2 linked regions of the Saccharomyces cerevisiae S288C genome follow. The gene in region 1 interacts genetically with each later gene. Each region holds a gene or a part of one and is shown on either strand. Other genes may lie near its edges.

What was found. A genetic interaction does not mean that the proteins touch.
Region 2: mutations in ERO1 (region 1) and SLP1 together harm fitness more than expected from each alone (negative genetic interaction), as found in Saccharomyces cerevisiae (2 studies listed by BioGRID).

Annotation. Positions count from the first base shown.
Region 1 is NC_001145.3:10,983-14,967, reverse strand, and holds ERO1 (ER oxidoreductin), read left to right. Parts: upstream 1-1,793; coding exon 1,794-3,485; downstream 3,486-3,985. Other genes in the region: COX14 (Cox14p), read left to right, coding at 215-427; YML131W (uncharacterized protein), read right to left, coding at 3,673-3,985. UniProt on the Saccharomyces cerevisiae protein: Essential oxidoreductase that oxidizes proteins in the endoplasmic reticulum to produce disulfide bonds. Acts by oxidizing directly PDI1 isomerase through a direct disulfide exchange.
Region 2 is NC_001147.6:622,748-628,809, reverse strand, and holds SLP1 (Slp1p), read right to left. Parts: upstream 4,082-6,062; coding exon 2,318-4,081; downstream 1-2,317. Other genes in the region: SUMO ligase NFI1, read left to right, coding at 1-450; ISN1 (IMP 5'-nucleotidase), read left to right, coding at 830-2,182; ATP-binding cassette multidrug transporter PDR5, read right to left, coding at 4,435-6,062. UniProt on the Saccharomyces cerevisiae protein: May be involved in membrane protein folding. Required for localization of MPS3 to the nuclear envelope.

The DNA of each region.
Region 1 (3,985 bases):
TACACTCTTTAGAAAACACTATTTCCTCACTCTCGGAAGCAGATTTCGAAGTTCTTCCTTACTTCTGAGCTTTGCTTCTCCTTCCTTGCGATTAATGTTACCCGGTATACGAAATCGGAGAGGATCAGAATAAATGCATTGAAAGGAGCATAAATCTATACAGCGGTTTGGCAATGGTGAGAGGAAGAGAACAAAAAATAGAACGCAGATAGTCATGTCCAAATACGCTTGGTATACCAGAGTTACAGATACATTACATCGTCTAACGGTACTGACGTTGGTTGGTGGTACGTTATACATGTCGGGTGGCTTAGCTTACACTTTATACATGAACGGTAAGAAGTACGAACAACAAGTGACCCAACAAAAGGCACTTGAAGAAGACAATCAACAACTGCAAAGTCCTACTGCACCTCCTACCGAGTAAACTGCGAGAACCCAGTGCTAATAAAATGAAGAAAAAGTACTAGATTACATTTTTAAGTGTTGCACTATATTCTAAGGGCCTCCATCGACGTAGTGTGCTGGTTCCACCTTCTCCTCATTATCATGCCAATATTTACGAACCTGTATATAATAATTAAATCATAAGAAACAACAAAAATAAATAACATTGCTGCCGGATTCCCGTAGGCAAAACTAACATATATATCGCTGCATGCCTTCCTATTCCTTATCAGGGGAAAGACTGCCACTGAGGTTTGAGGCCAAAGGCTGAAACACTTTTCTTCTAAAATGTCGTCTATTCGCCATCTAGTTTTTTATCTGACTATTTCTCGCTGTTTACTTTTTCTTACTGCCATTATGTAGGCCTTTTGAGTCAGCTTTGTGAAGAGATCTTATTACCTTAATTCTTGCTGAAAAATACATCGCAATGAAGTCACTTTCGTGATGGAAAGAACACGGCGGTAAGAATACGTTCCTTTTTGTGCTGTGTACACCCGTAAAATTGTACATTATTTATTTCAAAATATATAACAGGATCCCTCCAGTGTGTCTGAAATGATGCAACTCTGATACTTCAGAGTCGTACCCTTATTAAATACTAATGCCGAATATAGTCATCCAGTAGCCATAGTTCACACACACATTACTTATTCACCACATAAAGAACTAGAAATGCTTGCTAAATATCGTACCTTGAAGGTAAACATTAAGGCCCCCCAAAAGCATATATACATACTGGCAACACAAAAAAAGTAAATTGCCAACCACCTACCTTACATATGGTTTGCCCATCCTACATTACCAATACTATCAAGACATTTCTTCTGAAACATATTCACAACTGAAACGAGATCATTTTCTTATCTATCTATTGAGTAATGCTTACTTTTCATATTTTCAATGAACAATAGGATATGTAGGAGAATTGATATATTCACTGCGTATCAGAGAAAAGGTCTACTGACATTTTATGGCAAATGTATTCTACACAAATCGAGAATACCACAGACAATGGTACAAGACATACACAAAGAGAAGACTGTTCTAATTAAACAAATAATATTGAGCTACCTGCTAAGTATGTCCTTTTCCCTTTGTCCTTTGGTTTCTCTTATAGAAGACCCTGGAAATTTTTCGCATTTTTCCGGCTTTGGGCGTTAGTAAGAACAAAAAGAAAAGAAGAGAACAAAAAAGAAACGATACGGAGTACGTGTCATAAAAACTTGTTCAATCATCCTTGAAGCTAAGTATAAAGAGCTTGAAAAGGTTTACCACTTAAACTGGTTATACTATTTCAAGAGTGTAAACATTTTATTGCATATACCACAGTAACGTGCAGGTAAAACATGAGATTAAGAACCGCCATTGCCACACTGTGCCTCACGGCTTTTACATCTGCAACTTCAAACAATAGCTACATCGCCACCGACCAAACACAAAATGCCTTTAATGACACTCACTTTTGTAAGGTCGACAGGAATGATCACGTTAGTCCCAGTTGTAACGTAACATTCAATGAATTAAATGCCATAAATGAAAACATTAGAGATGATCTTTCGGCGTTATTAAAATCTGATTTCTTCAAATACTTTCGGCTGGATTTATACAAGCAATGTTCATTTTGGGACGCCAACGATGGTCTGTGCTTAAACCGCGCTTGCTCTGTTGATGTCGTAGAGGACTGGGATACACTGCCTGAGTACTGGCAGCCTGAGATCTTGGGTAGTTTCAATAATGATACAATGAAGGAAGCGGATGATAGCGATGACGAATGTAAGTTCTTAGATCAACTATGTCAAACCAGTAAAAAACCTGTAGATATCGAAGACACCATCAACTACTGTGATGTAAATGACTTTAACGGTAAAAACGCCGTTCTGATTGATTTAACAGCAAATCCGGAACGATTTACAGGTTATGGTGGTAAGCAAGCTGGTCAAATTTGGTCTACTATCTACCAAGACAACTGTTTTACAATTGGCGAAACTGGTGAATCATTGGCCAAAGATGCATTTTATAGACTTGTATCCGGTTTCCATGCCTCTATCGGTACTCACTTATCAAAGGAATATTTGAACACGAAAACTGGTAAATGGGAGCCCAATCTGGATTTGTTTATGGCAAGAATCGGGAACTTTCCTGATAGAGTGACAAACATGTATTTCAATTATGCTGTTGTAGCTAAGGCTCTCTGGAAAATTCAACCATATTTACCAGAATTTTCATTCTGTGATCTAGTCAATAAAGAAATCAAAAACAAAATGGATAACGTTATTTCCCAGCTGGACACAAAAATTTTTAACGAAGACTTAGTTTTTGCCAACGACCTAAGTTTGACTTTGAAGGACGAATTCAGATCTCGCTTCAAGAATGTCACGAAGATTATGGATTGTGTGCAATGTGATAGATGTAGATTGTGGGGCAAAATTCAAACTACCGGTTACGCAACTGCCTTGAAAATTTTGTTTGAAATCAACGACGCTGATGAATTCACCAAACAACATATTGTTGGTAAGTTAACCAAATATGAGTTGATTGCACTATTACAGACTTTCGGTAGATTATCTGAATCTATTGAATCTGTTAACATGTTCGAAAAAATGTACGGGAAAAGGTTAAACGGTTCTGAAAACAGGTTAAGCTCATTCTTCCAAAATAACTTCTTCAACATTTTGAAGGAGGCAGGCAAATCGATTCGTTACACCATAGAGAACATCAATTCCACTAAAGAAGGAAAGAAAAAGACTAACAATTCTCAATCACATGTATTTGATGATTTAAAAATGCCCAAAGCAGAAATAGTTCCAAGGCCCTCTAACGGTACAGTAAATAAATGGAAGAAAGCTTGGAATACTGAAGTTAACAACGTTTTAGAAGCATTCAGATTTATTTATAGAAGCTATTTGGATTTACCCAGGAACATCTGGGAATTATCTTTGATGAAGGTATACAAATTTTGGAATAAATTCATCGGTGTTGCTGATTACGTTAGTGAGGAGACACGAGAGCCTATTTCCTATAAGCTAGATATACAATAAGAGCAACACAGTTTATCTTATATGTATTCAATGTATAGATTTCAAAATATAGAGTTTAAATATCATTCAAAATATTCAATAAATTTTTCCTTTGAAAATTTAGGCCACTAAAAAATTATAAGAGCCAAAACGAAGTAGATACAATAATAAAAATAATATAGTCATATCTTAAACTTTTTGTGTAAAATCACTCCTCATTGTTAACCTTGGTAATAAGTTTACCTTTATTAACACCGCTAAATAGACCCTTCCATATCAATGGAACATTCTTGAACTTATCACCGGTACCATCTTCAAGGGTAGCGGATTTCAAGAGGTCAATCTTACCATGCTTAACCAGAGAACCCAATTTATCTAATGCCTTTGGAAAATCATCAATATTATCTGTCACTAGTACTCCTTTAACGACCAATCGTTTAGTCAGAATAAAGCTATACCCCTTAAAGACAAATTTAGATGGATCATTATAGGCACTTATAGCACCACAGGCTATCAACATA
Region 2 (6,062 bases), on another chromosome or scaffold:
TACAATAGAGGGCCATCAACGCCACTATTACCGGCTGTTCTACAAAATTTGACTAATCAAACGGAAGCGCAGAGAAACCCCTACGGACCTAATTACAATACCACAGCTCAAGATCGTAATCTTTTGGGAATCGAAGGTGATTTGCCTCCAATCCCCCCTGTGGACCCAAATTCAGAAGCAGAAACTGAACTACCAACAAGGACCACATCGGCGGCACATCTCCCTCCATATATACACGTGAGCACCAGCGGCCATGGGGATGATGGAAAAATTAGGAAGAGAAGGCATTCTAATGTTTCTATCTACATTCCGAAGAATCCATACGCCACCCTTATGAAACGGAGACCACAGGCAAATCACGCCATAATGAATAAAACTCTGGCCCAAACTAATGACTTTAACACATCGGCTCAAGATAACTCGGAAGTGGTCGATTTAACATCAGATTGATTAACCGTCTTTTGATTTCTTTCCTTTCCGATTGTATTCTATTTTTATTTCTATTGTTTCATTTCGCTCTTAATATTGACTTCCACTTTTGGGCGTAAATGATGTTTTTGTTTTGATAAATATTACGACTTTTGTTATGTTTTTTTACTACTGTGGTTACTTCATGGGTGTAGTGTGCGAATCTGCAGTGATAGGTTTCTATAGATTTCTCTGTATACTTCCTGTATTACACTATAATATTTCATGTCCTTTCACTTCCCACGTTTAGCGGGACAGGCCGCCCTTAAATTAACAAAATTTAAAAGGTAAAGGAATGTACTAAGAAAAGAAAACTATTCAAAGAAAGTAACAAAAGATCGTGAGTTAACTTATAATAGCAATGTCCTCAAGATATAGAGTGGAATATCATTTGAAGAGCCACCGCAAGGATGAGTTTATAGATTGGGTAAAGGGGCTACTGGCCTCACCTTTTGTTCTACATGCCGTCTCTCATGAAGGTGACTACAATGACGACTTAGCAACAACTCAACGTGTAAGGTCGCAGTATGCTGATATCTTTAAAGACATTGAAGGGCTGATTAAAGATAAAATAGAATTTGACTCAAGAAACATGAGCCAAGACGAAATTGAAGATGGCGCCTCTTCTCAATCTCTGAATATATTAGGACAATCGCGTTTAAATCTTTTGGTTCCATCAATTGGAACATTCTTTACGGAACTTCCATTGGAACAAGCTTTTCTATGGGAAGACTCACAACGGGCCATTTCGGCGCGTAGAATGGTAGCACCCAGTTTTAATGATATCAGGCATATCCTGAATACTGCACAGATATTTCACTTTAAGAAACAGGAGAACTTACATAATGGTAAGGTTTTGAGATTAGTGACTTTTGATGGAGATGTGACGCTGTATGAAGATGGTGGCTCCCTGGTTTACACTAATCCTGTAATTCCTTATATTCTCAAGCTGTTGCGGTGCGGTATCAATGTGGGAATAGTCACTGCGGCCGGATATGATGAAGCTGGAACCTATGAGAACAGATTGAAAGGATTAATTGTTGCATTACATGATTCAACTGATATACCAGTTTCTCAAAAGCAGAATTTAACAATAATGGGTGGTGAGTCGAGTTACCTTTTCCGTTACTATGAAGACCCGGAGGAAGATAACTTTGGCTTTAGACAAATTGACAAAGAGGAATGGCTATTGCCTAGAATGAAGGCTTGGTCCCTCGAGGACGTGGAAAAGACTTTGGACTTTGCCGAGAGAACTCTTAACAGGTTAAGAAAAAGACTAAACCTACCTTCAGAGATTTCTATTATCCGTAAAGTCAGGGCAGTGGGTATCGTCCCAGGCGAACGGTACGATGAAGCTTCTAAAAGACAAGTTCCTGTTAAGCTTGATAGGGAACAACTGGAGGAAATAGTTTTAACCCTTCAAAACACTTTAGAGTCTTTTGCCCCATCTAGAAGAATTCAATTTAGTTGTTTTGATGGTGGTAGTGATGTCTGGTGTGATATTGGGGGGAAAGATCTTGGTGTTCGTTCATTGCAACAATTTTATAACCCTGAATCTCCTATCCAACCCTCTGAAACCTTACACGTAGGCGATCAGTTTGCACCGGTGGGATCAGCAAATGATTTTAAGGCAAGGCTAGCTGGATGTACCCTCTGGATAGCATCCCCTCAAGAAACAGTGAATTATCTTCATAGATTATTAGAAACTGATTAAAACAGTTTATGTAAAATGAAATTAGGACTATAAAAGTATATAGATATTTCCTATAGAAACACCTCATATATGGCGGTGGATTTTTTCATCTTGAATGAATTATGCTTAGAATTATGATTATGGGCCCTCTAGGATTCATCTGATTGCTTGTTGAACAATGTCTGCCTTTTCAATAGCGCCATTTTTGCTCTCTTCGAAATCTTCAAAGTAAAGCTCTCTCGTTATTAATAGATAGGATATCAACCCTACGAAGGCGAAAAATGACGCATAAACAATTCTTCTTTGAAAACTGACTTCTTTTTCCAATCTTTCCAAATGCAATAAATGACGGTTAGTAAATTTGTCATTCTCCAGTTTCTGTTCTTCTAATATACGTAAAGATTGATCTTTCAATTGATTGGCAAAGTTATTCAGCAGATCTAGATTACTCATCATTGTTTCGTTGAATATCGTGACAAGATGACTGAACTTTGCTTCGTGCGCCATTTCAAGTTGTTCAAACGATTTAGATAGCAGTTTGCTCTGTTCCTCAATGTAAGAAACTGTCAAACTAGAATTTGTCTCCAGTTGTGACAGCCTTTTCATGATGTTCTTAAAAATGGATTCTTCTGGAATTACAGGAACAGCCGAAGAAGAAGAAGAAGATATCATTTGCTTGGAAGGACAAAAGGATGCATTAAGCACCTTGAAAAATTCATCGAACTTCAAAGGGATGAGCTTTGAAGTACATGATAATGCACCAGCTAAGTCTGAGAGATTGCTTGTGTTTGGAGTCTCTAAACGCGTTTCTATATTGTTACATCTGTCTTGGATATTTTGTTCATTCAAATTGTTTATATTGTTAGTTCCTATGGATTGTTCTTTATCCTCTTGAGCCTTTAGTTGATCGATCTTAAACTCATCCATCATTGATTTACCATATACTTTGATTAAGGATATGGGACAATAAAATTCGTCCTCATAATGGGATAGAATTTCGATTTTCAAATAACTTGCCCAGATTTGGGGATTATGTATTTGAAACTTTTGTAGTTCTCTTGAATTTCTTGCCTCGAATTCTCCTAATATTGTCCATTCATTTTTAACCATCGGTATTCTATCAGAAACTGACACCCTAAATCTCTTGAAGGTCGAGGAAAAGAATTCGTAATTAGCAATTTCAATTTCCTCCACCAGGATATCTTCACAAAGCTCTATAACAATGAATTGCTGCGGAGCTGAACAGGGATTCAGTAAATACTTGTCTTTGCTCTCAATTAACGTAGAAGTCGCTCCAATCGCTTCTGGATTGCTTTTGACAATTGTTGCAGCGCAATCCAAGGATGCATAGTTGAATTTTTTTTTGTAAACTTTCTCTATGTCCTTTTCCTCATTGAATCCTTTTTGATTTTCTTCTCTTTCACTCCACTCGTTTTTGTTTGTCAAAAACCCCAAATCGATTTCCAACTCTTCTCCTATGCATTCTTTCTCTTTATAGCAAGAGGGATCGACTGGCTCCCTCACTCGACTAAGATGACGTTCAGGGCCTGATGAGTGCTCCTTCGACTTGACCTTCTTCCATTCGTCGAACGATAAAAATGAATTACTCGAATCGCCCGGATTCCTTGGTGTTGCAGGCTGTGTTAGTGCATCTTGCTCTTTCCTCTCACCGTTTTCCCGTATGTCAGCCTGCCGTATGTCAACTTTAGAGGCCTGTCTAAAATCATGGGTTCTTAAAGAACCGGTGGATAGTGGTGAGGAATGTTCTTTCTGCACGTTCGTTGTACTTCCAGTCGTGATCACAGTGGTATCATGTAGACCAATCTTCGCATTTTGAGCAGTTTTGTTCCTATCTAATGCAAAAGATCCGATTATACTTACCCACAAAATAAGGCCGTATATGAGAAGACGGTTCGCCATTCGGACAGATAATGATATAATATATCTTATATTTTAACTATATCCATTGCGTCCTTTCTTTTTAACCGTAAGGCACAGTTAAGAAATAATGTTTTCACACTAAATGCTGATGCCTATAAAAAAAAAGTACCGATGAGATAACCTAGGAATAAAATTCTCGGAATTCTTTCGGACATTGAACTTTGATTTATCAGAGCTGGTAAATTCAAGAAAATTGAAATGTAGAAAGCTCGCTGAATTAAGAAAAAAAAAATAAAAACTTATTATTACGCACCTATATGTAGTGATTATGTATGTTTATTAAAAAAGTCCATCTTGGTAAGTTTCTTTTCTTAACCAAATTCAAAATTCTATTATTTCTTGGAGAGTTTACCGTTCTTTTTAGGCACTCTTGCTAACCAGTAGAAAAAGACACCAGCGATATAATTGAATGCAATATAACAGATGAAGATACCATAATTTCTCCATCTCTCACTGTAGAAAGAATTGACATTAGCTAAGTAATCATTGGTTGTAGATATTTGACAGAAACTACAGGTGTCAGTGGCATTTTCATCAGTTAAGTAACCAGTCTTTGCTAGTTGTAAATATGGTTCCATGTACTGCCCACATGTCATACCGGATGGTGGTGTGAATTCTAGCAATTCGTAATCAGCGCATTTGACGTCTACGTTAGCAACACCAACAGCCAACAGAGCCTGAATGAAATAAGTCAAAGGTGAAACCCTGTACATGAATATCCAAAATCTAGGCATGGCACTTGGGGTAGTCATAACACCACAAAAAGACAAAGACATTGTAAACAACAAAGAGGCTAAGTTAGCTGCACTTTCTGCAACTTGGTTGAATGAAATGACAAGCAGACCCATAGAACCAACATAAACGTAGAAAGCACAAGAGAACAACCAAAATAAAGCACCCCTTTCATGCAACTGGCCAGCTGCAGACGCGTTGGAGTAAAATCCAATTGGATAATAGTAGATAAAATAAGCAATAGTACCTGCCAATATATTCCATGGAACTTCCACGAATATTTGAGCGAAGATAAATGAAATCCAAGAAAAAGTCCTTGAGGGGCGTTCCCTGGCCTCATACAAATCTCTTTGCTGGACAAAAGATGGTAGGTATTGTTGTAGAATAGGATTGAAAATAACCGTAAACATGAACACAGCCAACATTTGATTTTGTAAACCCTGTAGCGAGGTTCCTGCTTTGAAGAAAGTGAAACCGATGAACAATTGATTGAAAATAGTTAAAATAAACTTCGACCATAAATAATCTGGAGATCTCCAATATTGCTGGAATAGACGAATACTGACCAATTTTGTTTGATAAATAATTGATTGTGAAAATTCGTGTTTGTCCTCAGCTGCAGTTATCGAACCTTTCTTTGGTAATTCTCTTTCCATCCAATCTAATTCAGATTGAACGGCCCTGTACTCTTCAGAATTCCTCCAAACTTCGTAATAATCTTGATTTGCATGAGAGCCTGGAGCTGCACCAACAACTTCTAGCATCCATTCAGCTGGGTTGGCGTCAGCAGGGCATTTATGAGCACCATGGCTTTCAAAATAATCGATCATAGTTTTACAACCTTCGCCCAAGTCGCCAAAGTAGACAGTCTTACCACCACGTTGCATAAATAGTAAACGATCGAATTCTTGCATCAAAATAGCAGAGGGTTGGTGAATAGTACATAGAATTGCTTGACCATGATTTGCCAACTTTTTCATTAGCTGACAAATAGACCAAGCAGTTTGAGAATCCAAACCAGAAGTAGGTTCATCTAAAAAGACCAACAGTTTTGGTTTGGCAGTTAATTCAACACCAATGGTTAATCTTTTTCTTTGTTCAACGTTTAAACCTTCACCAGCAACACCAACAACAGCATCAGCATATTTTTCCATTTCAAGAATTTTAATAACTTCTTCAACATATCTGTTCTTTTCTTCAATGGAAACTTCAGCTGGTTGACGTAGGT